Drosophila melanogaster: one gene and its partners. The protein of the gene in region 4 purifies or fractionates together with the protein of the main gene of each other region. This does not show direct contact. Each region holds a gene or a part of one and is shown on either strand. Other genes may lie near its edges.

Region 1 (6,384 bases), on a different chromosome or scaffold from region 4:
CGGATATTGATTTTGTGATCGTATACTTTTAATTCTAAATTCAATTTTGGTTTTTATAGACACACAACAACACATTGAAAACAAAAACCAAAAGAAATAACAAAAATGTACACAAAACAGAATAAAAAATAAAAACTAAAGATAAATTAATAAACAAATAAAATTATTTACAGACGAGTACACAAAACAAAAATGTTGGGTTGGTTTCGGGTTTCTGGGTGTTTTTTTTTTTTCAAATCTTTTTTGGGGAATACATATTTCTACCAATTTTAAAAAAAGGGTGGTTTTTTATATTGCAGACATTGACAAAATACAACACATATAGAAAATTTGGAATACAAAATGGTGGGCAAGGTTCGGTTTCGAAAAAAATCAAAAAATTTGTTATAGTTAGGGCAAAAACAAAAAAAAAAAAAAGATAGACATAAGTGAACACCAATCGAGTTCTTTAGGCTGCTGCACCAAAACCAACAAAAGATGTCGACAAAAATCGGCAACAAAAATGTACTTACGTCTCCTCGCGGGTTTCCTCGACAACCTCCTCCTCCTCGGAGCTGCTTTCGAGTTCGTAATTAAACGAATTTTGGTTTTTTTTTATATTTTTTGGTTTAAGATTTTTGAATAAGGTGTTTTTTTTTATATATATATTTTGGAGTGAAAGTGCAGGGTTACACACGGCACACGGGTGCAGAGGTGATATTGTTGATTTGTTGTTGAATTGTCGTGTGGTTGTTGTTGAATAGTTGTTGATTGTTATTAGTTGTTGATTTCAAAAGAAACGAAACGACAACATTAGCGGTTGTTCGAACAGATTCATGGGTTGTGGTTGTGGAGGTTTTTGGGATCGTGGTCGGTTTTTCGGTTCGGGTTCAGGGATGACAATGCGTGGAAATAGATAGAAAGGAGTACAGATCAAAATAGGTGCCACTGGTAAATGTGATTACAAAAAGTTCTCTTACAAGAATCCACAAAAATCTGATCGTTGAATTAGTTAGTACGTATAACAACAAGGGTTCAAACGAGACCATCGAATACTTCTCTTCAACTTTGCTACTTTACTTAAGTTATCTGTTTACTTTACACACTTTTAAATCTTGTTCGCGGTCATACGCGTCGTATACTTAATATTTGCATCTTGTCCTACATATTCCATGGGTTCTACTTACGTGTACTCTTCATCGTCGGACATGGCTACGGTTTAGGGTTGAAAAAACCTGCAATAACAATATATAGAAAATAAAAAGTTTAGTTTAGTCTTCAAATGCATATATTTAAGATTAAATTAGGAAGCCATTGTAATAGAATAGGAAAGACACCAAAAACGTGAATGTGTTCCATTATTATATTTCTTTTTGAATTCAATTGATATTAAAAATAATGCTTATTAAATATAACCCCTTTTTTAGCCAAAGCAGCAACAACAATAGAACAGCGAAATACAGGTGTGCAAACAAGTCAACAAATGATTGCCCTTTTTGATAACCCCTTGTCTATTTTCTATTCAGGGTTTCACTGTACTTGAAGCAGCCTTTGATCGCCCTGCGATAACTCTATATTTAGACGGATCTTTCCCCCTATATATATGTATATAATATATATGTATATGCGATTCCGCTGTGTATATGTAGGCAGGGCGACCTGTCTTTTTATAGCCGGCAACAATGTCTCGTCCTCACATCATAATCTTTCAAATTCAAGAAGAAAAAAATAAACGATAAATTCCGTACGCTCTGCTCTAAAATTATTTAATTTCCCATGCTATCTATATCCACAATCTATAACTGTGTGTGTGCGAAGGAGAGAGTCGTAGTCCAATCTATGTATGTGTGTTTTTTCATTTTCCTCCGATTTTTTCTCAATTAAAAATAGACTTTGGGGCAGTATTGAATTTCCCGAGAGCCGAAAGCTTCCGAAAACATCAAAAAGCTTCGGACAAAGCCTTTTTTGAAAATTTTCGTTTTTTTTTTTACCTTGGCACTAAATCGGAAAATCTAAAGAAGCTTTTCAATTTATATATGTATATGTATTGATATATATTTGGGCGTACTTGTGTGTAATGAAAAGAAAATCAAATCAAATGCCATTCATAGATCGCCTGTATATATCTATGCCAGTTATTATGCCACGAATTTATATATTTAATATGCTATTTGAAATTTCTATGATTATGAATATTCTATTTCTATAATCTTTGCACTTTTGCGTGGAAGTGCAATTGCTGAGCTTGTATTTTTAGCCTTAGATAAACTGGGTCAGTTTTGGGGCAAGTGCTTGGAAATGATGTGAAATGTATTGAGAAAAGTTCTGGAAAAATTGAACAAACTTTTCAATTGAAACTGGTAATGATCTAAATATCATCCGACAGACTATCAGAAATATACGTCTATCGTCTTTTCACACTTACATATACAAAAATGTTACTGATCATACATGTTAGTTTCAAAAACATGGTTTTGAATCTTACTTTTTGTCTTTTCAAGTTCAAAGTTTGAGTAAGTGTTAGCTACTTCCTGCCTAGCAACATAAAACTGTCATATGCTGTTTTTATATCCTGTCATTATATCCTTATCGAATTTACTCTACAAATTTCCCTTTCTTTAATTCAATCTATCTGTGCCCTGTTTCCATTTATAGTCCTATATATATCCTCCAAAAATCTCCAGATCTCTATTCGCCATCGATCTTGTGTGGGTGGCTATAGTTCCGTCTCGTTTTCGCCTACTATATCTTTAACATATCTGATCGGCGCCTGCGCGGAAAGCTATTGAAAAAAGTTTTCACTCTACGTATCTGTGTGTGTGTGTTTCTCTGTGTGTGTGTGTGTGTGTATCTTGGACATTTTGCCAAGGTAAAAACACACTCGCTCGCGCACACATACGAATCGAATTTATTTTTAAAATTCGTCGAAAAAAATTTGAGAACTTTTCCTCTCAGATCATATAACACTTTCAGAAAGCAAAAAGATATACATATATGTATATGTATATTTATATGTATAGATTCCTGTCTGGCATTGTTGTTGCTTTTGATTTTGTTGTTGTTGTTGCTGCTGCGGCTAATCCTGTTGTTGTAGTTGCCGTTGAATATTGTTTTTGGCGCCGCCAATGCCTGGGCGAATTTTTTCAAATTATTTTTAGCCTTTAGCCATAATAAAAAAAAAAAGTTTAAAAAAAAAAAATTTTTTGAAAAAGTTGGCTTCAGAGTTCGTTTTTTTGGTGGCTTTCAAGTCATTTATTCGCACTATTTGTTCGTAGATTGCACTTTAAAAAAATTTCAAAAAAAAAAATAAAATGTTATATAACACTAGGATTTTCCAATTCGTAACTTTCTTTTGTTGATGTTCGTGGTTCGTGGTTTATTCGCAAAGGATTCGGTTTTCTCGTTTTCGATAACTTTCTTTTCGTTTTTAGGCACACAAGTTTATTTTATATTTTCTTTTTATTTTTTTGGTGATGCAGCATTTGAAGGAGATGTGAAGCAGCAGTAGAGCAGAAACAGAAAAAAAAAAACTTACTTAGGGAGAAAAACAAATTGAATTGAAGTCCGAGCAGCTGACGTCGTAGGAGCGAATGCTGCGGTTCGACTAACCAAACTGACGATGAAAAGCGCTGCTACACGTTATGTTAAAGAATTTTTCGTCGCGTTCGCGGAAAAGCCATTTCCACGCACACACCGATCGCCTTTCTATATAGCCAATAGCTGGCCATGTGTGCGAGCAGGCCAGCGCTATATGCCACATATCGCTGGCCGATGTGGCAACAAGTGGGTGGTGGTGGGTGCGCCTGCCTGTGTTGGCTGTGTTCGATGTGTTTTGGGTGAATTTTTCAGGTGGGCTGCAGCTGAAACATAAACTTGTACACGCACACAGCCGCCGTCGAGTTTTCCAATTTTCCATTTTGGCCAGAGCGAGATGAGGCATACGATATTAGTATATACTATACATTAGACCATAATGGCGCACGCACATAACTAGATCATACAATAAGTATATAGCGCATACGGACGTTCGGTGCGTTGGCGGCATTTTACACATTTGTTTTTGGAATCAAATATCGTAGAGCATAAATTTCACAGCCATTAAAAAGTCGGCCTGCATATATTGCTCTATAATATATACGTACAGATGTTCGTGCCGATATATAGCACATATAGTTTGGATTCCTCAGCGGATCGTTGCAGCATTTGAACCCCAGAGTGCACGCCCTACAAAATCTCCAACCCAGTCCGCCGCGATCACCGATCACCCCCTATATATATATATATATATATATATATTTATTTACCTATATCTATATCGCGATCGAACTGCTGACGTCGAACGGCCTTAGGTGGCCCCATCGCATTGCCATTTGTCTAACACTTGAATCTATTCGTCATTGTTCCGATTTTCTTTTTTTATTTCTCTCCTTTTTCTATGCTATTTTTTTTATTTTACTTTCTAACAGATACTTTTGGCAAATAGTTTCAGATACACTTACGCGCCTTGCAGCACTTTAAGCTATCGAATTTAATTCATTCTTTATTGGGTTATTTTTTCGAAGCATACAAAATCAATTTGAAGAATTTGACAAAATCTCTTTTTCCTATATGTAAATTTTGCCAAAAAAATTAATTTTTTCATATCGTTTAATAAACATCATAACACATAAGAAATATTTGTATTAAGTAAGGGTAGTGAAACATATTTTGTTCTGTATTTAATTTTGTTTCTGTATTCTAGTATTAATAAAATTAAAATAAAGCAAAAACTTACAATATTTTAAAAATGTACTTTCATCAACATCGATTTCCGTTGTTTTTTTTTTTGCCAAATTTTTCATAAAATTAGATATAAATTCTAGAAGAATATAAAAAAAAAAAAAAATTTTTAGTTTTTCGCTTGCACTTGTATCTTCTTAAATTATTAATACTGCAAAAAAAAATATTTGGGCTATCTCAAAGTTCCTCAAAATCTGGGTAAAAATTTTTATACATACATGATTACATTATATATGATTACATTACATTATATTATGATTACATTACATTATATATGATTATAGAAAAATTAATTTAAGACTTCTCTTAATTCCTTGCATAAACAAGTTGTTCAAATAAATAGACTTCTGTGTAAATTAAAAACATGCGATGAATATTATTTTAAAATTATATATATTACAATATTCTCCAATAGTAAAATTACTATATAGTCGCAAAGTTTCGGCATTTGTTTTGATTTCGTTTTTGGTTACCAAGTATCTTAAATTTAGAACATTTTTGTATCTGCACCTCTGCGAAATGCAAAATGCACACACCAGATACGCAGATAGATAGATATGTATGCATAGATAATTAGATATGTATGTGTATGTGATATGTATGGGTCTAGGTATTATGCATGGCTTGCCAAAAACCACAAAACTACAGAATCGCAATGGGACACAGGTGGGCAGTTCGAGTTATCTGGGATTTAGTGCATGAAATGGTACGGGCGTGTTCTGTCCAGATATAAACGACATCTGTAAGCGCTTTTTTAGCTGCTTCCAATTTTTGCCTGCCATCTGGCTGGATTCACATAACATCCTCCGTTCAATAAACAACTACGAACCTATTGCAAACATCGGGCCAAATAGCTCAGTGATCCGTAGACCAGAAGTACGGACATGTGCAGATATATACATATGTGGGCGTGAAAGTGGGTGGAAAGTCGGGTATGCCGTATGCCGTATTCAAGTAAATTTCAATTCGCATCATCTTCTGAATGTCCGAATATCAGAATGTTAGAAAGGCAAGTCAGAATATTCGAAAATCAGGGAATAACAAATAGCACAGTTTCGAATTTTTGTTGTTCTATTTTTGGACGTTTTGTGTGGGCGCTATTCGTCTGTAGCCTTCGGTTTTTAGTGCCGATCGTATGCACGAAGATGCCCGATATAAAAAATATATATATATATATATATATATTAAAGTATGTATATGTATTTGTTTAAATATCTTCTATATGTCTATCTATAGGTTAGCTTTCTGGGGCGATGTTTACGGGGAACTGTGGCTAATATCTGCATAGATCAGGAATAACATAAACATTATCCAAGATCTGGAAAAATATTTGATTTCAGACAAGAACGATGGCCCTGGGATTATATGAATGAACAGCGTATCCAAAGTGTCGAATAATTTGAATTGATTGCAATCGGTGCAATCTTAAATAATAAGCTATTGTTGGCTGTGTCACTTGCATTTTTTTTCTACTGTGTATGATGCAAGAAAACAGTTAAAATTCTGAAATATGTTCTTTTCAATTTTAGATTTTAGTGACCAGAATAGTAAGAGCTTCCTATTATAAACTTAAATGTATTTAACACATTAAATCAATGCACTTTCCAGTTTAAAGTTAAAATATAT
Region 2 (8,464 bases), on a different chromosome or scaffold from region 4:
GAGGCGCAAATACAGAACTGCAACTGCCGCTTCGAAATTTAAAAACAATTCAGGTTCTTTATATCGATGATGCACGTATGTGTATCAAGATCTAAAACAGATGGTAAACTATTTGCCAATAACACTTATGTACATTTTCATGTTTTGTTCCTTTTGATAAAAGGAATGTGCCCACAAACCACGTAACAAACAAAAAAAAATTAATTTACGCATTTTTAGTTATATACATATAATATATATAATATACATAATAAATAATTGCAAAATCACAAGTTTCGAAAATTGTATATTTGCTAGAGAGAGAAGTGTTTTCATGGCAAAAGGCATAAACGATTCTAAGAATACAAAACAAAAATATTGTAAGCTAAAATTATGAATTGTTATATAAAACGTCAATATTTAAAAAATGGCAAAACCAGAAAAACAAAACGATTATGATACAAGAAATGTAATAAAGCGAAAAATCGATTCAAATGTGTTTGCATTGCATTTTTTTATTTTGAGATATTCAAATCAAGGCCTATGGTCTAATCTTTGTTTTTGTCAAGTAATAGGGACCGCCACTAGTAATTTTTTGAATTTTTTGAAAAGCGTCGCGGGAGAGAACAAACTTGCTATTTTGGAGATTCCTCAACTTCTCAAGCGAAGCCATCTTTTCTCTAATGGGCGTACGTTTACGTTTTTCCTGAACATGTCGCAGGTTTCTAGACGGATTCTTTTCGAGAGTAGGTCCCGAAGGCTTAAGATGCATTGGCTGAGTAAAAAGTAGAATAAATACTAAAGTGATTTGTTCGTTAACTATAAACATACAATCTCTCGAGGGGGTTTTCCCCCTTCTCGGTCAAACATGTGATTTAGAAACAGCAGATTATCTGAATAAAATAGTTTTGGCTGCGGCGATTCACCCGAAAACTTTGCACCCTGCTCTTGTATGCGCTCCATCTCAACTTTATAGCGAAGCTTGTGAATCATATGTTTCCAAAACCCAGATGGCGAGTCCGCTTTCATTTCATCGGCAATCGCATCCCAGATTCTGTCTTTGAGCTCGAAATTGAAGAAATCTTTGTTGCGCTGATTCCACAAGCATTTGTGATCTTCATACAATGCGATTAACTTTAATTTAGCCTTGGCGGTCTTCATGAACTCCGGGCTAGGTGAGAAGGTGATGGGGGTCTTTCGCAAAGAAGTGGCGTCTGTATAAGTGTAGGAGCCTGTGCTGGAGTCAAAGGACGTTGTACTCTGTTCCTGACGCTTAAGTTTTGCAGCCAGTAGGGCTCGTCTTCTTCCCAACGATGGCTTGTCGGAGAGTGAAAAGAAATCCGTGCTGGAAGCAACGGAAGTTTTACTTTGAGCTCTGCGTTTCATAGTCCTAGAATTGGATTTACTAATAATTTATATTTGATTGACAATTCGACATATTTTCCAAAAGCTATGGGTGAATAATTAAGTAATCTGCCCCAGTAGATTCTATTATTGATATTATGCTTTATTGTGCAAATTGTTGTGTCTTACGTCTTATAATTGATAAAATTATGTTAATAATGAAGAAAATATAGAGGACACGGGATGAATTGACGGCACTTATTGTCCGCTTTTTTGTTTTAACTGTTGTTTATTAAATGAAAGAATCGGTTTAATACATATTACTTGAGTTTTATTCGCACTTAAAACAGTTTCATAGTAGAGGCAATCTGTAGAGCATTTGGACAAATTCAAAAAGAACAAAAATTGAAGGAAACGCATGCATAGCCAGAATTAAAAATAAAATTGTGTATAATTATATATATAAAACTCTTACAATTTCTCGCTATCGTTCGGCTACATAATTCACTTTTAAAGCTGCACACTCGATATAGTCAAAATATAATATAAACAATTTGAAAAGAATTGAATAACAATACCATAATTCGATTGCTTCCGTTGTGAATTTGAGTGTGTTCACCTACAGGAAGAAGGTTGGGATCAGGCTTCTTGACTGGGTGTCTTAAGTAGGTCCAGGACCATTTACTGGGCCAGCTCCTTCATGCGGTTGAGAGCGCTGCCGGCCTTGAACCAGCCGATCTGTAGGTCGTTCAGGGTGTGGTTAAGCTTGATCCTCTCGACCTTGTCGCCATTCTTGATTTCGGCATCTACGGGCTTTCCAGGCGCAAGGGATTTCAGGTTGAGCAGGGAGATTTTGCTCGTGGGCTGGATCTGTTGAAGTACAAAGATATGGTTAATATGACCTTAGTCACAGAAGCTAAGAGTCGCAAACCTTATCGTAATCAGCGGGATTGGCGAAGGTGAGAGGCAGAAGACCCTGTTTCTTCAGGTTGGTCTCGTGGATACGGGCGAAGGACTTGACGATAATGGCACGACCACCAAGGTGACGGGGCTCCAAAGCGGCATGCTCGCGGGACGAACCCTCGCCGTAGTTCTCATCGCCGACGGCCACCCACTTGATGCCGTTGGCCTTGTAGTCGCGGGCTACGTCGGGAACTCCTCCCCAGCTACCGTTGCGTTGGTTCTTGATGTTGTTCATCTCGTTGTTTTCGTAGTTGGTGGCTCCGATAAACATGTTGTTGGAGATGTTGTCCAAATGGCCACGGTACTTCAGCCAGGGTCCGGCAGCGGAGATGTGGTCAGTGGTGCACTTTCCCTTAACCTTGATCAGCACAGTCAGATCGGTCAGATCCTGGCCGTTCCACTTGTCAAAAGGCTCCAGCAGCTGCAGACGCGTCGACTTGGGGTCGACAGCCACCTTGACATTTTCGCCGCTCTGTGGGATTTCCATATTGATTCTTAAGAACAATATAAATCAGTTTGGGAATTTAAATGTACTTACGGGTGGGGGAGCAGTGTAGGTGTCCTGGCCGGGATCGAAACCCTTGGCGGGCAGCTCGTCGCCGAAGGGAGCCTTGAGCTTGAACTTCTTGCCATCAGCACCAGTAAGCTCGTCGGTCAGCGGGTTGAAGTCCAGACGACCGGCGATGGACAGAGCGGTGACCAACTCGGGACTAGTGACAAAGCAATGGGTGGCCGGGTTAGCGTCGTTCCTGCCAGTAAAGTTTCGGTTGTAGGAGGTGACAATGGTGTTCTTGTCGCCCTTCTTAACGTCCTTACGATCCCACTGTCCAATGCAGGGACCGCAAGCGTTGGCCAGAACGGTACCGCCGAACTTGTCGAACACCTCAGAGATGCCGTCGCGCTCGATGGTGGCACGGATCTGCTCTGATCCGGGAGTCACATTGAAAGGAATCTTCGACTTGAGGCCATGGCTCATGGCATCCTTGGCGATGCTGGCGCAGCGACCCATGTCCTCATACGAAGAGTTGGTGCAAGAGCCAATAAGACCTACACGGATGTCCATAGGGTACCCGTTCTTCTTCGAGTTCTCGCCTAGCTTGCTGATGGGATGGCCCAAATCGGGAGTGAATGGTCCGTTAACATGGGGCTCCAGGGTGTCTAGGTTGATTTCAATCAGCTCATCGTACTCGCAGTTCTTGTCAGCGGACAGAATCTTGGCCTGGTACTTCTGGGCTTCGGAGGCAATGCCAGCACGGCCTGTCGATTTCAGGTAATCAGCCATGCGCTGGTTGAAGGGGAACAGAGAGGTGGTAGCTCCGATCTCAGCACCCATGTTGCAGATGGTGGCCATGCCTGTACAAGAGATAGAGTCAACACCCTTGCCGTGATACTCAATGATGGCACCGGTGCCTCCCTTGACGGTCAGGATATCGGCAACCTTCAGGATAACATCCTTGGGCGAGGTCCAGCCGCTGATCTTGCCAGTCAAATTGACACCAATCACCTTGGGGCACTTCAGCTCCCAGGGGATGTCGGCCATCACATCGACGGCATCAGCACCACCAACGCCAATGCACAGGCCACCCAAGCCACCACCGTTGGGGGTGTGTGAGTCAGTACCAATCATCAGCAGGCCGGGGAAAGCGTAGTTCTCCAGAATGATCTGATGGATGATTCCGCTGCCTGGCTTCCAGAAGCCCAATCCGTACTTTGCACAGGTGCTGGCCAAGAAATCGTACACTTCCTTGTTCAGGTCCTTGGCACGGGCTAAATCCTTGGGTCCACCAATCTGGGCCTCGATTAAATGATCACAGTGAACAGTGGAGGGCACAGCCACCTTTTTCAGTCCGGAGGAGATAAACTGAAGCAGAGCCATCTGTGCAGTGGCATCCTGCATAGCCACACGATCGGGGCGAAGACGCAGGTACGAAGTACCGCGCACGATGTCCTGGTTTGCGGGATCGTCCAGATGCGAGTACAGCACCTTCTCGGAGAGAGTCAGTGGGCGGTTCAAGCGACCGCGCACCACTTCCAGGCGCTTGTTCAGCTTCTCGTACGGCAGGTAGACGTCCGAGTCGAACTTGGACAGAGCCACTTTGGAGGCGGTGTAGCAGGAGGCGTGGAACTGACGCACCACTGTGGCTTCGGACGCAACATGCTTGCCCAGTCGACACACCTGGAAAGCAGATAAGAAGTCGAACTGTTAAATATGGTGAAGTGGTACATTTAGCAATCAAGATCAAGTAATTAACACAATGTGATTCTCTAGTTTATTTGCACTTCGCACACTGTGAGATTTTATTTATTCGCTTGGTAGCCCAATAAACACTTGATTATCATGTCAAGAGGACGAGTCCTCGTCACTTTAATTAAATTGATTCCTCTATCAGGAAATGATAATTCCCAAAGATATTCTGACAAGAGTACAATCATGTGGGGACCATATCTGTGAAAATTCTTCTTTACTGTACATTTAATCTTGCATACATATATAACAAATGTAAAACATTATTATCACCGCTTTCACTTGTTTTAAGATCAATATATTGCTAAAGCTAATAAATTTTAATCGTCTTGAAATTTTTGAATAGCCAAAAATAATCCATTGATCCATTTACCGCTTCAGAGTGAAATTTTTCCAAATATTTTTTTGAGATTAGTAAAATGATTGAAAGTTTACATTTAACAATCAAAGTATTTTAAGTGCTAGCCAAAGTGCTTTAAGGTTCTTCGAACTGCAGAATAAAAAAATAAAAAGTAGCTGGAAATATAGTTTGTTTGTAAGCCTTTCAAATTGTTACAATATTCTACAGAACACTCCAATTAGAAGAACCACGTGACGACACGACTGTATGTACATACACGCAAATCGAAACAATTGCAATGACAATTACGTCAAATAGGTCGTTAACTTATGGGCAGAGTACAGTGAAACCTTTCTCGAAGCTGACGTGGAAAAACCCCACTTGAAAGGCAAAACTCCTCCAATGCGCGTGATACTCAAGTTAAACGGCGCAACTTTTTTAAGCTATATTTAGTGCTGGCATTATCAAAGTGTAAGTAAACCTGTCACAGATAAGACGGTCCTCCGCCACAAGATATATGCTCTAGAGGGTGTTCGCCTCCTGGTTAAATAACTGGACCCCGGCGATTATGTAAATGCAACTATGCCAACCATCGAACCCCCACGAATCGCTGTTAATTGTTGAGAGCTAACGATTTCGCATGGTTCACTGCTGCGTATTCAGTATACATGTTTGGGATGCAGGGCCTGTAGAATCACAAACACTGCGAACTCGGTTACCTAACCACTTCGAATTTTATGATTTTAGGTTAGAAAACGCTGTGCGAAAAATTTGCTATTTTTCGCTGCCCACATCCTGCTGGGTGTGTAAGAAATGGGCAATGATTTTTTGTAAACTTTCGCGCAGTGCTCTGTCCAGTTGTCTTTATCGCAGCTTGGAATTTCGGGGTTCCATTCACAGATTCTATACGTAAACGTATATATAGCCGTGGTTATATATTGGCCGACTGGAGGCACAGGCTCCGCTCTAGAACCTACCTGTGCCTGGGCGTTCATCAATCTCGCAGCCATGGTCGCGTCCTGATTAAGCGATACTCGAAATAAACCCGACGAAATTGATATTGCAGCAAATGCTTCGAAGCCGTCAAAATTTTCAGCCCTCTCAGCCGGAAGATTTTAAGACAGACTAAATTCTTTACCACGGCGACCAGTGTTAGCTGGCGTCACGCATACGCGTCAGCAATGTTCCGCCGGCTTGTTTCCCGCCAAAATTGGGTCGTTAAATAAATAGGACCATAGAAAGTTTATCAGTTTTGAATTAAAGCGATAAACATTTATTAACTTCAAGAGAATTAATGGACTCTATGGCGTTAAAACTTAAATCGAAGTAAATGCTGAAATAATGCACTGACGACAACTTATTTTTCTGAGCAGGGACTTGGATTAATTTATCCTTTAGCTTTTTTTTAGCAGCCAGCGCAGACGACTACCGCGCTGTGCTGTCCAACACTGCCCATTTGTTTGCGTGGGCGGGTGATACTTTCCCACAACTGCGCGAATAATAAATAGGCTCGGCTGTGAAAAATGTTTGACAATGGCCAGTCAGCATTAGTCCTGATCCCCTTGCCATGTCCGAGCGTCGCGTAGTGCATGAGATACCCGGAGAGTACCAGCCAGTGCCCAGAGCACCGGAAGAGCCAACCCCTTTGACCACATCGTGTTGCCGGCGTCCCAATTGCGGCCTAGGGCTCCAGGATGAGCGAAATATCTGTTCCTGCAAGCACGGCTACATCATACCAGTGCTTATACTCTTCGTTCTGGTGATGATTGTGCTTCTGTTGCCTTGGGAGACCTACCATCGAAATGAAAACGGAAACAGCCCCGTTCCGGTGGAAAAGCCGTTACCATGTCAACTCGAACTGGTGGAGAGCTTGCCCTTGGGGTTGAACTACAGCCAATGGCAAAGCCACCCCCAACTGAGTAGCACCTTTGATGCCTGGCAGCTACTACTAGGCAGGGCCAAGGCATCGTTGGACATCGTTTCTCCGCACTGGACACTGCGCGGCTTGGACGTCAACGATAGCAGCACCGGGCCTGGAGATCAACTCTTTCAGCAGCTACTGTCGAATGGAGATGCCGGCAGACCCAAGCTGCGCGTGCGGATTGTGGTTAATCGCAGCCACGATAGCCTGTGGCATGCTGATGCCCGTATCTTGGCTAACTACGGAGCAGCCGACGTCGTGGGCATTAATTTTCTGCACTCAAAACTGTGGTTAGTGGACGGGGAGCACTTCTACTTGGGCACAGCTAGCATGGACTGGCGATCACTGACGCAACGCAAGGAACTAGGTGTGCTGGCCAGAAATTGTCCCCATCTTGCTCTAGATCTGGGAAAGATCTTCAAGGCGTATTGGTACCTGGGCAGCAATGAAGTGCCAAAGAGCTGGCCGTGGATATACCACACGCACATCAATCAAAGAAGACCGCTTTTGCTAAACATCAACAAAAAACATACAATGAGAGCTTATTTATCCACATCACCACCAGAGTTGATCGCTACTGGAAGGACCCGAGAGCTAGATGCCATTTTAGAGGCTATCGACAAGGCCACAGACGTTATATACCTCTCCTTAATGGAGTACTCTCCTCGGCTAAGACGGAGTAACAAATTGGAGTACTGGCCGGTCATAGACAATGCCCTGCGTAGAGCTGCCTTGGAACGCGGTGTGGCCATTAAGGTGCTTATTTCATGGTGGAAGTATTCGGATCCCAGCGAGGATCACTTCTTGAGGTCCCTTCAAGCGCTCGACAAAATTACGGAAGGAGTAGATATACAAATGGTAATGAGCTTATAAGTATTGGCAATTTTATTAACAATTTCTTTGCTCTTGCAGCGACGTTTTGTTGTACCCACCACAAATGAACTGGAGAGGATTTCCGGCGGTAGAGTTAACTGCAACTCGTACTTAGTCACCGATAGGGTTGCCTTTATAGGCACCTCCAGTTTTTCGGGAGAGCATTTTACTTACTCAGCTGGCATTGGATTAGTACTCCAGGACATGGAATACAACAATAATAGTCTCCGTACAGATTTAATGGCAATTTTTCTGCGGGACTGGTTTAGTCCCTATGCATTGCCACTGAAACCAATTTTACGAATTTGAATTACGCTTTTAAACCTGCCGGCATTTTGCAACACCGCCACCAGCTGTTCATGTCATAACAAACGCAAGACCTAACCTCAAATTCTAAAATAAATTTAAGTTCCTCGCTCTTAAGTTAAAATAAGCATGGCTAACAAGCCGACGCGCGATGTGATCGGCATCATCTTCAAGAACTTTTGGAAGTCCCTACGACCGCGGCAGTTTCGTGGGGATTACATTGGGGAGGACTATTTCGGGAATAAGTACTACGAAATTCCTGCAAATCCTTCGATTGGAAAGAGGAAGCCTTCCCGGTGGTTCGAGCCAGCGGATAAGGAAGCCTTCGACCAGGAGCTGACTGCCGAATGGGAGGCGTGGCTACGAGGGCGCCGGGAGGAGCCGCCCACCCGCGAAGAGCTGGTGAAAAATCTTCAGATTATGGACATGAAGAAACGCAACGCCGCCGAATTGGAAGCAACATACGCCAAGGGCAAGGACGACAAGGCACTGC
Region 3 (5,748 bases), on a different chromosome or scaffold from region 4:
TGTCCAGCATCCTGGGCAACGTAGTGCACGGCGAGCGAACCAAGTACGCGATTGCCCTGATCCGTGGTAGCAATCTATTCGCAGCCGTACTAAACTCCAGCTGCGATGGCGGCGCCTTTTGCCCGTGCAGCACAATCGACAGAGAGTGTCTCAACTGCAAGCGAATGGACCAAACAGACTGCGAGTGTCCTTGCGAGTGTCCAATGGTGGGAGACAGCAGCTCACCATCGTCCCTCATGTACTTTGCCAACTACACGCGACAATTTCCGTACTGTCCACCGCCAAGTGAACATTTCATTGCACTTCCACCGACCACACAGCTGCTGAGTACTCTGCCGAATTGTCCTGGTTCTGCTGGCATATGCGAAACGTATTCCACTCAAAGAGAATGCCTCGGAGTGATGGGCTGCGAATGGTGCCAGCTGGATGTGGACGGCAATAGTTTTTCGACCTCCTTCTGCTCGTCCCAGGCGAGCTGCTTCAACGGAGTACTTGCCTCGCTGACACCCTACGGTGAGCTGGACGAGATGGAACTGCTGGCCGCCCACAATCCGCAGAGAGAGCAGCACGCTTACTCTGCATTTGGTCCGCTAGGAGGAGCCATTGTGGTGCTTGTCATGGTGATTGGCTTTGCCATCTACTGCTACAGACACAATCTGGATGCGCAGACGCAGGAGCACTTCTATGTGGATTCGGTACAGGAAGAGAATTACGGCTTGCCGCTGTCCAGGTTCAACTTTGACGATTGCAAAGCGCATGACGAGCCGCCTCTTGGTGGCGGCTATGACCACGCATCTGCACAGCGGCAGCTGATGCACGCGGCGGATATTTCGCCCTACCACGTTTCCAGCGGCAGTAGCTATCGCCGGCCACCCAACGGTGAGTCGGATCATGGCTACAGCACAATGACGCCGCACGAGGACAGTTCCGATCAGCAGTGCTTCACGCTGGCGGAACCTTTGCTGCTGCACGACAAGCGGCACAGCAAGTCGGACACCATGTCCATATCCACATCCATATCGAGTCCCACGAATCGACAGCAGTCCTCCTCGCAGCCAAACACGCATCCCTACTTGAGCAATCAGCCGACCTCAAAGACGGAACGCTACAAGCAGGTGCAGGCCACGCCCTCGCCATGTCGCGGAACGCCAGCAGGTGGTAGTGTCTACGGGCAGACGACGTTGCCCCTCGAGGGGGATAAGACCCGGCCACACTATATCCTGGCACCAGTGACGGTGCACCGGCACATGGAAACTGCCGAATCGTAGTCCACAATAGCGTTGTTAAGTTTTAGAGCGTAAGATGTCCGCTTGTTTGCCAATTTAGTTATGTAAGTTTCCAAAATGGGCAGTTCAACTGCCGACAGTCCAGAATGCTGGGCCCGCATTCCAAACCCGCAATGTGTTTTGTGAGCTCGCGGTGGCCTCCATTGTTGGCCCATCTGTATCTATTAGAGCCTCCGTGGACGAGACGAACACCAACTATTAAGTGATGACATTGTTTCTGCCATTTTTGATCGATGTATTGTATTTGTATTGTATTGTATTTTACTGTAATTTATTGCAAAAAGTATTACTATATTATGTGCAGCTATATACTTCCGATATTTTTAGCATTTATTTGATAAGCACCAACAACAGAAATGTACTTACTTGTCTGATTGTAAGATACCATGTCGTATATCGTTTTTTGTAATAGCCCCTAAGACTACAGAGTTACTAACTACTGATTTTAGTAATACACATCTATAATAGCATTGTACGTTTCAAATAAAATGTTTAAATTTTGCAAAAAAAACCCACAAGATCTTAACCTTGATCCAGAGCGATCGGATGAATCGATTGGGCTGCCAATTGCTCGTCCTCCGATCAGCTGGTCGTACGTTAATGAAATTATTTTTACACCTATACATTTTATAAGCAAACCAGACGCTGCTCAATGGGCTCTTTTTTTGCTGTGGTGGCCAAGAATTGCCAATTTATAAATAACAATCTCTATTCGGGGGTTGTCAGGTGGCTTTTAGAGCAAAATTAGCTATGGATCTTTGGTGTAAGTTTTTACCCGATACCCAACCATTTCATAACCGTCATTAACCGATGTCATAAGGCTGAGATAGCCAACATATTCAATATCTTCAAAAAGAAAGTGTCTTTATACTGATTAGCTGTGCATTTGCTGTGTAAGTTCTTACCCGATACGCAACCGTTTCGAAACCGTTATCAACCGGTTGGCTTTGCACTCGGCTGGCAACCCTGAACCGAAGCTGCTAGCTCTCACTATACCATTGCAGCCACTGCATTTGGTTTTCTGGTCTGGCGCACGACGAACGTTGCTTTGGGTCCCCACATTTCAGCCCAACAACGACTCTATACTTCAACTATATCTAATCCCTATCTGCACTTCACCTCCTTCGATACCCCGCACTTTGAAGTGAGTGTTTAAGTTTGCTCGGTGTTTTGAAAACCGTTCTGTTTTCGAACATTTTCGAAATATACGCAAAGTGATACAATACGTACTCTGGGGAGAACATTACGCAATGCATAAAAAGTGTTTGGCGAATGAGAAAAAACAATAGTTATGTAAAAAATAATGCAAGTATACATTCTCAATTTCAATATAACTTGATAAAAAAAAGAAAGTTTATAAAAAAAGTTTTTTGATGAAGTGATTTCGGATTGAATATATTATTGCCAATGCTTATCATTTACTATTGCTAATTAATTTTTAAATTATAATGATACTAGAAAAACAGTTTTTAAATAATTGTATAATCTTTCAGGATTAAAGAACATAACTTCTATGTGCTCAAACGTTTTTGACAAAAGAAAGTACGAAATATTAATTTATAGATGTAAAAACAATTAAAATAGATTAAATGTATTTAGTGTAGGCGGTACCACTTGCAATTTAGTTTGTTACATCATGACCTTAACCTTAAACCCATTCGAAACCCTTGATCTCTGTTTTCAAAGGCACTTCTCTAAGGCATCATGTTTAAGTCCCTGTTCGATGCCGCGCAGAACTCAACGTTCAAGTCGCCATTCACTAGCGTCAACTGCCAGTCAGCCACGCCCACTTCCGCCCCCACATCCACCGCGGTGGTGACCCCCACCCTCAAGGATGTTGCTCCACGCCAGCTGACTCGAAACCACAACATCGCTGCCGCTGCCGTTGCCGAGGGTGGTAAGTGGGACAAGTCCTCCTGGAATCACCAATGAGTTGGATATATAAGTATTGTTAATACCTCTGCAGACTCCTGCGAATTCGGCTCGAACCACTACTTCCTGCTGTGCGGCCTGGGCGGCATCATCTCGTGCGGCTCCACACACACCATGGTGGTGCCCCTGGATTTGGTCAAGTGCCGCCTGCAGGTGGACCCGGCCAAGTACAAGAGCGTGTTCACCGGCTTCCGCATCAGCTTGGCTGAGGAGGGCGTCCGCGGATTGGCCAAGGGATGGGCACCCACCTTCATCGGCTACTCGATGCAGGGTCTGTGCAAGTTCGGCCTGTACGAGGTCTTCAAGAAGGTGTACGGCGATGCTATCGGCGAGGAGAACGCATTCCTCTACAGAACCGGACTCTATTTGGCTGCATCGGCATCCGCTGAGTTCTTCGCCGATATCGCCCTGGCGCCCATGGAGGCGGCCAAGGTCAAGATCCAGACCACGCCCGGATTCGCCAAGACATTGCGCGAGGCTCTGCCCAAGATGACCGCCCAGGAGGGCGTGACCGCCTTCTACAAGGGCCTGGTGCCATTGTGGATGCGCCAGATCCCATACACCATGATGAAGTTCGCCTGCTTCGAGCGGACGCTGGAGCTGCTGTACAAGTATGTGGTGCCCAAGCCACGTGCCGATTGCACCAAGGGTGAGCAGTTGGTGGTGACCTTCGCCGCCGGTTACATTGCCGGCGTGTTCTGCGCCATCGTCTCGCATCCGGCGGACACAGTGGTGTCCAAGCTGAACCAGGCCAAGGGTGCCTCCGCCCTGGACGTGGCCAAGCAGCTGGGTTGGTCTGGTAAGTGCTGACATTTGATGGGATTTCCTGTTCCTCATCTAAAACATTCGCTTTTTTCCAATTCAGGATTGTGGGGCGGTTTGGTGCCCAGGATCGTGATGATCGGCACATTGACCGCCGCCCAGTGGTTCATCTACGATGCCGTCAAGGTGTTCCTGCGCATGCCACGCCCACCACCACCAGAAATGCCCGAGTCCCTGAAGAAGAAGCTGGGCGTGACTGGCGAGCAGTAAACCAAATATAAGCTAACTGTTTTTAAATTTAGAGCGAGCAGAATGTTAATCGAATTAAACTTGATTTGTATAGATAAACCACACAGTAAATAAAAACCACACAAAAATTAAACGCTCTTTGTATCAAGGGGTAAAAGAAAATTTCAATTTAAAATAACCGCCAAGCTCGAGTGCACACCTCCATATTTTCCAACACTAATTTAGCACTTTTAGTTCAATACCGAACAGCTGAGCTTAACAGCCCCGTCCAATGTCAACAAACAGAGGGAAGAAGAAGCAGCATTCAACACGCGGTTTTTTGAACTGCATTTTTATTTCACTTTTATTAAGTTAAAATAGATAATTATGGTTCAGAATAAACAGAAAACAGCGAAGCCACCAAAGCTGCTAAAAGGCGCAGCCAAGGAGCCTGCACTTTCGAAGGCGGAAAACTGGCAGAAGGTTAAAATCAAGGGCCACGTGATATCCGACGATGGTGGCGGCTTCGAGGGATTAATTGGCCTGGAGGTCCTCAAGGACTACGATGCATCGCTGGTGAAGTCCTCGCAGAAGAGGACCACATCCCGGAATCCAGACAGAGAGCGCAAGCTGAAGAAGAAAAAGAGGAAGGTATCGAAGGGCGACGAGGAGGAATCCAGCGAGAGTTCCAGCGAATCCGAAAGCGAGGATGAAGTGGCGGTCGCTGCTAGGACCAGTAAAAAAGCCCGCCTGGCCGAGCGTCATGCGCAAAAAATGCAGAAACTGCGCGAGAAGCGTGAAAAGCGAAAGGAGCTGCGGAAACAGAAGAAATCGAAGGGCAAGGAAAACGACAACAGTGAGGAGTCCAGTGATGAGCACGCGGCAGATCGTTTCGCATTGCTCAGGCCACCACCATCGGACGATGAAGAAGAAGTGGTCAAGGCGGAAGATTCGGCAGACCAACAGGAGTCGACCGACGAAGAAGCACCCGAATTAGTGCCCATCTCCACAGGCGAAGCCGAAGATATGTCCGCCTGGAACGGCCTGGGTGTTCCCGCTTCCATTTTGCGTGCCCTCGGCGAGCAAGGCTTCAAGACGCCCACACAAATCCAGGCACTGACGCTGCCGGCTGCAATCCACGGCAAAAAGGACATCCTTGGAGCAGCCGAAACGGGCAGCGGAAAAACCCTGGCCTTTGGCATACCCATGCTCGCCGGAATCATGGAGCTGAAGCAAAGGAATATTCGCTCTGGCATACGCAAGGCGCCCAAGGTGAAGGGACAGCAGCCGGAGCCAGCGGCAGATGAGCACGAGCTGACGCCCCCGCCGGAGGAGCTGGATCATGTTTCCGGTGCCAGTGATGAGGAGAGCGATGCGGAGGAGCAGGCCCAGCGTGTACAGACTCCTCTGTACGGTCTGGTTCTCACACCCACCAGGGAGTTGGCCGTGCAGGTCAAGAATCACCTGGTGGCTGCTGCAAAGTATACAGGCATTCGAGTGGCAGCCATCTTCGGAGGTCTAGCTGTTGCGAAACAGGAAC
Region 4 (9,310 bases):
TAACTGAACTAATACCCCGTTTGCCCTCCGGCAAAAAAGGGGAAAACCTCAAACGCAACTCCCGCAAATTACCAAATTATCGCACAGCTCAAAGACACTGAGATTCGGTGTTACGTGGAGTCCACAATGCAACCCACTCAAACACATCCACGGCGTTTATAAGTCAAGGTGATCATTATTGGTAGAAAAAATCCAAAAACTTACAATGACTCTTAATTGTTGGACGTTAAGCCGGCGCTGAAACCAGCGACATGGCCCATTACGCGATTCTAGCCAGTGGAACAGCAGGCCATTTGGATCCAAATTGCAATTCCAACGCCATGACACTTAACTAATGACCGACCGCCTCTTGTTTTCGCTTTCAGATCTTTGGCAAGCTGCTGGAGAAGAATCCCGGCATCGTGGACAAGGTGCGCGTGGTAAAGGGCGATCTGCTGGAGCCGGACCTTGGCCTGAGCGCCAATGACACCAACACACTCGCCTCCAACGTCGAGGTGGTCTTCCACTGTGCGGCCAATGTGCGCTTCGACCAGCCGCTGCGTCCCATGGTCATGATGAACGTGGTGGGCACCCTGAAGGTCCTCCGCCTCGCTGAGAAGATGAGCCAGCTGCAGGCTCTGGTCCACGTGTCCACCTCATACTGCCAGTGCAACGAGAGCGTTCTGGAGGAGCGAGCCTACCCGGCTCCACAGAACCCCTTCTCCATCATCGAAATGGTGGAGACGATGGACGACGAAGCTCTGGCGGAGATTACACCCAAGTAAGTGGTTGAAATTGCTCTTCCTGAGCCGCAGATATTATTGCTCTTATTATTCGCGTCCAATGAATTTTGAGCAGCACTTACTTTTAGTAAACAAACGCTTATAAAGATTTGGGCTATCTAAATACTGGCTGAAATATAATGAAGTGCCTATAGTTTCATGCTCCTTTACAGGCGTACCTTGGTGGCACCTAATAACCAGTTTCTTTGGCTTATTTTTAGATTACTAAACGGCTTGCCAAACACGTACGCTTACAGCAAGGCGCTGTCGGAAGATTTAATTTGCAGATACAACAATAAGCTGCCCATAATCATCACAAGGCCCTCGATCGGTGGGTATACCATAGTGTCTACTCTGTTTTTGTGCCTCCTGGCTAATTGCTTTATTAAATCCATTGCAGTGACGGCCGCCATTCACGAGCCATTGCCCGGCTGGATCGAGGGCGTCAATGGACCCACCGGCCTAATGATCGGCGCCGCCCGCGGAGTCATCCGATCGATGCACTGCAATCCGGACTACGCCTCCACGGTGATACCCGTAGACAAGGCCATTAACGGCATGATCCTGTGCGGCTATCAGCGCGGAAAGGCCAGCCAGGAGAAGGGTAACAAGCAGACGGGTGTTGAGTTCTGCAATCTGTGCATCTCCAGCAAGGCGCTGATGTCCTGGGGCGACAGCATCGAGACGGGTCGTCGATTCTTCTACGAAACGCCGCTCAGCTTTGCGCTCTGGTATCCGGGTGGATCCATCAAAAAGAACTACTACCACCACCTTTTCTGCGTCATCTTCTTCCACTATCTGCCCGCATACTTCATCGACTTTTGGCTGCTCGTCTTTGGCCAAAAGCCATTGTAAGTAAACGGTTAAATTTTAAGTTCTCCTATTAACACATGGATTATTCCCATCCAGCTTACTCAATGTCCAACGCAAAGTGTCCATGGGTCTGAAGCTGCTGCAGTACTACACAACGAAAAGGTGGGAGTTCCGAAACGAGCGCTTCCAGGAGATGAGCAGTCAGCTGAGCCTCCTGGATCAGGACCTCTTCGACACGTCGGTGGGTCAGGTCAATTGGGAGACATACATCAGTAACTACATTGTGGGCATGCGCACCTATATACTGGGCGAGAGCGAGGACACTCTGCCGCAGGCCAGGAAGGTCCTGCGACGGCTGTATATCCTCGACTGGGTCAGCAAAGTGCTGTTTTTCTCCCTGAGCTTCTGGTTCCTGTGGACCCATTTGGATGGCTTCGTGGAACGGAGCGATGCCTTCATCCGATCCTCGCTCAGCACCATTTACCATGAGCGAAACAGCACCATACATGTATAAACTCTTCTTTAATTATGTACTTCAAATATAGTCCACAAGATTTTGTTTCTTTTTAAGTAAGCTAGCTGTGTTTTATTTCTATTTTAACTAAGGATTAAAACTCAAAACAGTCACATAGGAATTGTGTGAAAGATCAATAGCATGATAAGCCCGAAAGTTACGTGGTAAATTCCTGAAAGTATGAGCTCTAAATAAAAAATTTAGCAAAACCTTTAAAAAAACACCTTATATAAAATATACCTTGTATATATCGTTTGTATTGTACTGTACGATGTTTATTACTTAGATTTTCAAGTGCTTTCTAAAAGAAACTCAGTACCCCCCTGAATTCAACATATAGCCGAAGATGATAAATCATAGCTTAATCTTGGAGTCAAAGAAAAACGTGAACGTGAAACCGATAACAAATACCTAATCTCGCCCTGGCAACGAAGCGAGTAATCCGCCGGCGGTGGTGCCGCGTTTCTAGCGGGCACTCCACCCACAGAGCTTTTCGGTGAAAAGTTTGCACCGCTCTCGCCGGAGAGCAAAAAGCTCGGCGCTCCGAAAAAGCCGACATATATATACATATCTATGCGAGTGCCTCGGCCAGTTTGGTGCGGCGTCGAGTAGCGAGCGGTTGTGTAGAACAGAATAAAAAAAGAGTTGGAACCCGAAGAATCCAAGCGATTAGCAGCATGTATCACCTGAAGAGTCTGGCCCGCCAGGGCGCCCGCCGCCAGCAGGAGCTGGCCACGCTGGCCAAGGCACTGCCCACCGCTGTGATGCAGTCGAGCCGCGGCTATGCCACCGAGCACCAGATTCCCGACCGCCTCAAGGATGTGCCCACCGCCAAGGATCCGCGCTTCTTCGACATGGTCGAGTATTTCTTCCATCGCGGCTGCCAAATCGCCGAGGAATCGCTGGTGGACGACATGAAGGGCAAGCTGACCCGCGACGAGAAGAAGCAGAAGGTGAAGGGCATCCTCATGCTGATGCAGCCCTGCGACCACATCATCGAGATCGCCTTCCCCCTGCGCCGCGATGCCGGCAACTACGAGATGATCACCGGCTACCGCGCCCAGCACAGCACCCACAAGACGCCCACCAAGGGAGGCAAGTGTTGATCCAAGATAACCCAAGATATAATAGTCAGAACTCTGCACGTAGGTAGTAAAAAATGAGACGTTAAGAGGTTTTCAAAAGGGATGCAAACAAAAGTGCCAAACCTATAGAGACCACTAGATGATTCAGTTTTCCTTGAAAATCTAAAACAAAAAATGCAATTACCTAGCAAGTTTAAAGCAAAAATTTGTCAACACTTACTTAAGTTTTAAGAAACCCTCAGAACAGCTGTTGTCGCTCGATGCAAAATCGATTTTTCCTTAGGCATTTCTGGCATTTCGTCTTGATTTTTCAAGTTATGTAACCCAGTATATAAGCCACACCAGACCAGACCCCCTTTTCCCCACGTTCTGCGCATGTACCGCTGCCGCCTGTTTTGTTTACGTTTTAGCCGACTGGGCTCCCCCTTTCTCCACATTTTTTTTTTTTTTTTTTTTGTTATTTGAGGGTTTTTAGGCCGCATTGCATAAGGCTCGGACGTTGGGCACACGTGTTTGCATTAGATTTCCAAACCCTTCAAGTGTGCCACCATTCAAAAACAGATGTACATATGCTGAATGTACTGCCCGCTTTTCGCACATTTCATTATTTTCGAGCTGGCAAATGTATTTCGATTCTTTCGCTGCTGTTTGTTTTTCCTTTGGCTGGGTGCTATTTATAATGAACTTTTGCTTGTGTTTTGCTTTCTAATTGAAATGAGAGCACAGCACTGCACAGTGTGTCAAGTGCTAAAAAAAAAGTAACGCCCCTAACCACCAAAAAAAAAAAGAAAAAATCTCCTTGTTGTCAGGCCACAAAAATTGTTTGTTCCGAATTCTGTTCCTTTTTTTTTTGCTTCATCTCAAATTATTAATTATAGAATCAGTTTGGTGCTTATCAAAAGCAAAAAAAAAAGAACACAAAAAATATGTAGTGAAAAATATTCGACTAGGGAATCTTATCTGACCTTGGTTATGCGCAAAAATAGAAAACAGAAACAGCCGAAAAAACGCTATGCCCCTAAAATTTGTTGTTTACGATTATTGCCACGCTTCTTAACACTTTATGATCTTGTTTTCGATCCATAGATCGATCGATCGATCATGTGGCTTAGTTAGTTGGGTCACCAAAAGTTGTAAACAGCCTGTTACTAAGTGAATTGAATCCACCTTATGGCTCGTTAATGATTCACTCAAATAGCCAGCTCTCTGCTATTTCAGTCAAAGGTGCTAAAAATTGCTAGTCTATTTATTTACTTAGTACTACTAGATCAATGGACAGTGTTTAATGGCCACCATTTTGTGCGCTCCATGCTCTAATTAATGTTAATTCCCGCTGATGCATCTGCCATTTGGCTGTTAATTATTTAATACGTTCTGCGTATGTACATACATCAAGTCCCCGGTCTCGAATTTCGGCAAAAGTGCCCCTTTAAAAAAAAAACAGCCGGCTCATGAATTTCGTTTCGTTTGGTTCCCTGTCCAAATGTCGAGTTGTGTGTGCCTCTAAAGAACTGGTTTTAATTTGCCCGGGGTGTCTGTCCGTTCGGCTTTGTTCACGTGATAGTCACGTTGTGCCAAAAAAAAAAGAATTGAACAAAAACTGCGAGTTTATGATATATGCGTCATACGCTTCACCACTGTGCTGGTTTTCTTTAATTTTTTTTTTTTCAACAAATGGGGGTCCATTCAAAACCGATTTGATCTGGCCTACGACTGTGGAACTTTCTACACATGTCGATGAACCGATCTAAATTGTCTAGTCAATTGAGTGGTCTGCTTTGCATTTACTCAACCACAAGTACAAGTGATGCATTCAAACTCGAATCGAACGCGACAAAATAAAAAACTGATAATGTAAAGCGGCCCTATCGCCAATGTATTATTTATACATATTTATTATACACATGTGGCGACAAATGTACACACATTAGTTCAAGTAAATAGCGTTGCCCACAAGTACTTGGCAGTTATCTTATTGACAAACATGTTTCCATTCTATTTGCTACCCGTCGAGAGTTGCACTCGAAAAATGCGTATGCAAATCGTGTTAATTGTGTTACACTCAAGTTGATTCCCCGATACTTACCTCGCCCTGGAAAAAAAACAAACAAACCTGTACCCATTATCTAGTTCACAGCTAAATAGTTGATCACGATGGTATCGACATCGAAATGGCATGTTTCTTAGCACTCAACTTCGCTGGGGGTGCGTCCATATCTGCGTCACTTCCGTTCTTATCCCCCCAATCTTATCGAGCATTGAGATCTCAAGGCCCCCACTGACAAAAAGATTTCGGAGAAGTTTTTGCACTCGGCGGCATTCTAATCATATGGCGTAGAATTCTGGTCAGCTGACTTGGTGAGGCAACCGGTTTGGTCTATTCGAAAAACAAAAAGATCGTCGCCTGTTGCCAATGGGGAATATATACATATGGGCATACTTATAGACGTGGCTATATGGCACACACACACACAGCCACACGATCGAGCCCCCAAATGTGTTATCGCACCACCGATTGTATAAGCAGCAGCATGCCCAACTAGACTATATAGGCAGCTATCTTTGGAACCTTAATAGATTCATTCTTTCTGTATTGTTTTTCGAAAAATTTTTGGCAAAAAACGAAAACAAGTCGACTGATCAAGCCGGTTGGTGCTGTTACTCTGGCATTTCGTCTGCTGTTTTTTTTTGTTTGTTTCTTATGGTAAACATAAGCGAAAAGAAAGGCGAAGAATGGGGCTTCGCCAAATAGAGAATGATTCGCTGTCGTCAAGCGCGGTGGGTACAGTCAGCACCATTCTCAGCTGGACTTGGGATTCGATTCGATATGAGGGCTTAGCTCACTCAGCGGAAAGGCAAAGCGAAGACGCCAAATGGCTGTAAAAAAAAGGCTCTGCAAACTCAAAAACCACTCATTATAAACTGAAAGTCTGGCTTTAAATTAATAAATGCTACGTGAATACAATCTTCCCAACACCAGCTCACTAATCTTAAAGTTTATTATTAAAAAGCACAGATTATGTGCTCCTTAAGATTAAAGATTCAGTAACAGCACGGAAGAACCTATTTTTAGGTTGTTTACAAGCATACCGGATCATAATTCACTTCAGTCGCGACAGGATAGTGTACTTTAAAATCAGACTGGCCCTTGAAAAACAATGATACACAAATAAGTTCCAATCGGTACATAATGAATTGTAATTTTTTGAAATTGTGTACTCATCGTTTTATTTGTTTATAAGTTCCAGTTGCCGGGCCCCAAAAAAATGCTACACAGCTGATAATGTCAAGAACTTATTTCGAGTGCCAAAAGCAAATTCAGAGATTGTTTTTTGTGTGGAGAAACCAAAAATTTGCTTGATTCATGGTCACTATCGACCGGCCACTTGGCAACAAGGCATTTAATTTAATCGCAAAAATTAAGCTAATTTTGGATTTTATAGTCTTGTTTTTTGGGGGCTCGTCCCGGGGTTCTAATGGGGAAGTCATTAATTTACCTAGTTCTACATACAAATTTACGTATGTATAAAGGCCATTTGGTGGAACTTGCTCTTGCCAATAAAGCAGCATTTATATTTATCGATCCATAAAAAGCGGGCACTTTGCACTTTTAAGTTCTTACAATTAAAACACCCTTGTTAAATTCGAATTACAAGCACGAAATTTTGGCTTATCTAATCGCGCCGACTTCCCAAAGATATAAACATTATATGTGCCAAGCAAATAAAGATAAGAGCCAAGGAGGGGTTTTATGGTTTCTGTTCATGGGATTGTTGCGCCATCGGCGAAAGGTTTCCCCACGTCTGCCAGATGCAATGATTTTGTTTTTAGGGCACGTGCTTTAGTAAAACAGCCAAGAAATGTTCGGTTGTATCATCGATTCGAGGAGAACTTTTGCTTTCCGCGAGGAATTCGTGTAGTTTGTCGTCTATTTTTGTATTTGTCTGTTGGATTTAGACCAAAAATGAAAGCTGCAACAAGGTCGCCGAAAGTTCTGAGCACACCTGTCGTATACGTAATGTGCTTATGCAATTCTTTTCCCTTGCAGGCATCCGTTTCTCGTTGGATGTGTCACGCGATGAGGTCAAAGCCCTGTCCGCCCTGATGACCTTCAAGTGCGCCTGCGTGGATGTGCCATTCGGCGGAGCCAAGGCCGGTCTGAAGATCAACCCTAAGGAGTACTCCGAGCACGAGCTGGAGAAGATCACCCGTCGCTTCACCCTTGAGTTGGCCAAGAAGGGCTTCATTGGACCCGGTGTCGATGTGCCCGCCCCCGACATGGGAACCGGTGAGCGCGAGATGTCCTGGATTGCCGATACTTATGCCAAGACCATCGGTCACCTGGACATCAATGCTCATGCCTGTGTCACCGGCAAGCCCATCAACCAGGGCGGTATCCACGGACGCGTCTCGGCCACCGGTCGCGGTGTCTTCCACGGCCTGGAGAACTTCATCAACGAGGCCAACTACATGAGCCAGATCGGTGAGTGTTGCATCATGATTGTCTAGTTATGAAAGTGCATCATCCTAATGGTAATATCTACATTCTTAGGCACCACTCCCGGCTGGGGCGGCAAGACCTTCATCGTCCAGGGCTTCGGTAACGTGGGCCTGCACACCACTCGCTATCTGACCCGCGCCGGAGCCACCTGCATCGGTGTCATTGAGCACGACGGCACTCTGTACAACCCGGAGGGCATTGACCCTAAGCTGCTGGAGGACTACAAGAACGAGCACGGCACCATTGTGGGCTACCAGAACGCCAAGCCCTACGAGGGCGAGAACCTCATGTTCGAGAAGTGCGACATCTTCATTCCCGCTGCCGTCGAGAAGGTCATCACCAGCGAGAATGCCAACCGCATTCAAGCTAAGGTAAAGTCTTAATTGAATATAACAAAAGAATCTTGTAAAAATGGGAATATATTCCCGTTTCAAAATGGTTAATATATATTTTAAATAATTTTCATCAATTTTAGATCATTGCCGAGGCTGCCAACGGCCCCACCACCCCCGCTGCCGACAAGATCCTCATCGATCGCAACATCCTGGTCATTCCCGATCTGTACATCAACGCCGGTGGTGTCACCGTCTCCTTCTTCGAGTGGCTGAAGAACCTGAACCACGTCTCGTACGGTCGCCTGACCTTCAAGTATGAGCGCGAGTCCAACTACCATCTGCTTGGTAAGTTTATCACACTATTATTATGCAAAACAATAGGCTCTTGAAGGCACTTGCTCCTCATCTCGTTATCTATCAATCTATCTATCTATCTGAATAAGTATACTTTGGCCCATTGATCATGCCATCTCATTGATTGGTTTATGGATTTAGTTATGCTATTTATTTTAGAAAACACAAAACCTATTAGAAAAGCGCTTGCTCTTTCGGCATTTGCTCTTCCCATATTGGTTCAGTACTTCCAAATTTCGTTTCTCGTCAATTTACTTTCGATTTATTATCCACCTACACCTGAAAATCAAACCATAACCAAGAGACTCTAAGATCGTTATATAATTTTGAAGTATCATCTAAGTAATTCGTTGTTTATTCTTCTTCTTTTTCCGTTTCTCTATCAACAATGTAGCCTCAGTCCAACAGTCAATTGAAAGAATCATTAATGACGGTACATTCTGATTATTAATTCTTTTCGTTACCACCTATCCATCCTTAAGCCCAAAAAACTTTTTCTACCTCATGTTTACCTTTTTTGTAGTTAGTTTTGTTCTGTAACGTTTATTTTGTGCATTTATTACTTGTTGCTTTATCCAAAAAAAAAAAAACACAATATCATAATCAGACTAATACCAGGAACCATCCAATCCTATGCTTTAATTCGGTATCTAATTATTTGGTGGCTTAAAAAACCCTGTCATATATGTATATGTGGTCCCTTGAGCATGTGGCACTCTTAACTAATCGCTTTGTCCTTTTGTTTCCCCCATCGCTGTTTTCCTGCAGAATCCGTTCAAGAGTCCCTGGAGCGTCGCTTCGGCCGTGTGGGCGGTCGCATCCCCGTGACCCCCTCCGAGTCGTTCCAGAAGCGCATCTCCGGCGCCTCCGAGAAGGATATCGTGCACTCCGGCCTGGACTACACCATGGAGCGCTCCGCCCGCGCCATCATGAAGACAGCCATGAAG

Evidence for each region.
Region 1: the proteins of Gdh (region 4) and up purify together in Drosophila melanogaster (affinity purification with mass spectrometry, with the first as the bait; one large-scale study listed by BioGRID). This does not show direct contact.
Region 2: the proteins of Gdh (region 4) and mAcon1 purify together in Drosophila melanogaster (affinity purification with mass spectrometry, with the first as the bait; one large-scale study listed by BioGRID). This does not show direct contact.
Region 3: the proteins of Gdh (region 4) and Mpcp1 purify together in Drosophila melanogaster (affinity purification with mass spectrometry, with the first as the bait; one large-scale study listed by BioGRID). This does not show direct contact.

The regions. Positions count from the first base shown.
Region 1 is NC_004354.4:13,598,904-13,605,287, forward strand, and holds the start of up (upheld), read right to left. Parts: upstream 3,676-6,384; 5' UTR 3,515-3,675; intron 3,463-3,514; exon of another isoform or gene 3,326-3,462; intron 2,752-3,325; exon of another isoform or gene 2,465-2,751; intron 1,215-2,464; 5' UTR 1,190-1,214; coding exon 1,167-1,189; intron 878-1,166; exon of another isoform or gene 558-877; coding exon of another isoform or gene 555-557; coding exon 513-554; coding exon of another isoform or gene 509-512; intron 1-508. UniProt on the Drosophila melanogaster protein: Troponin T is the tropomyosin-binding subunit of troponin, the thin filament regulatory complex which confers calcium-sensitivity to striated muscle actomyosin ATPase activity.
Region 2 is NT_033779.5:21,166,189-21,174,652, reverse strand, and holds mAcon1 (mitochondrial aconitase 1), read right to left. Parts: upstream 6,084-8,464; 5' UTR 5,882-6,083; coding exon 5,849-5,881; intron 4,463-5,848; coding exon 2,825-4,462; intron 2,759-2,824; coding exon 2,255-2,758; intron 2,194-2,254; coding exon 2,005-2,193; 3' UTR 1,469-2,004; downstream 1-1,468. Other genes in the region: CG31627 (uncharacterized protein), read right to left, coding at 521-754, 811-1,365; CG43345 (uncharacterized protein), read left to right, coding at 6,439-7,650, 7,705-7,974; CG43346 (uncharacterized protein), read left to right, coding at 8,101-8,464.
Region 3 is NT_033778.4:20,277,670-20,283,417, reverse strand, and holds Mpcp1 (mitochondrial phosphate carrier protein 1), read left to right. Parts: upstream 1-2,290; 5' UTR 2,291-2,430; intron 2,431-2,480; exon of another isoform or gene 2,481-2,574; intron 2,575-2,808; exon of another isoform or gene 2,809-2,828; intron 2,829-2,972; 5' UTR 2,973-2,990; coding exon 2,991-3,183; intron 3,184-3,252; coding exon 3,253-4,017; intron 4,018-4,083; coding exon 4,084-4,250; 3' UTR 4,251-4,352; downstream 4,353-5,748. Other genes in the region: CG16868 (uncharacterized protein), read left to right, coding at 1-1,268; CG9143 (uncharacterized protein), read left to right, coding at 4,596-5,748.
Region 4 is NT_033777.3:23,936,467-23,945,776, reverse strand, and holds the start of Gdh (glutamate dehydrogenase), read left to right. Parts: upstream 1-2,675; 5' UTR 2,676-2,765; coding exon 2,766-3,183; intron 3,184-7,006; exon of another isoform or gene 7,007-7,154; intron 7,155-7,221; coding exon 7,222-7,656; intron 7,657-7,725; coding exon 7,726-8,045; intron 8,046-8,149; coding exon 8,150-8,354; intron 8,355-8,757; coding exon 8,758-8,796; intron 8,797-9,131; coding exon 9,132-9,310. Other genes in the region: CG12268 (uncharacterized protein), read left to right, coding at 366-760, 983-1,092, 1,162-1,612, 1,671-2,088.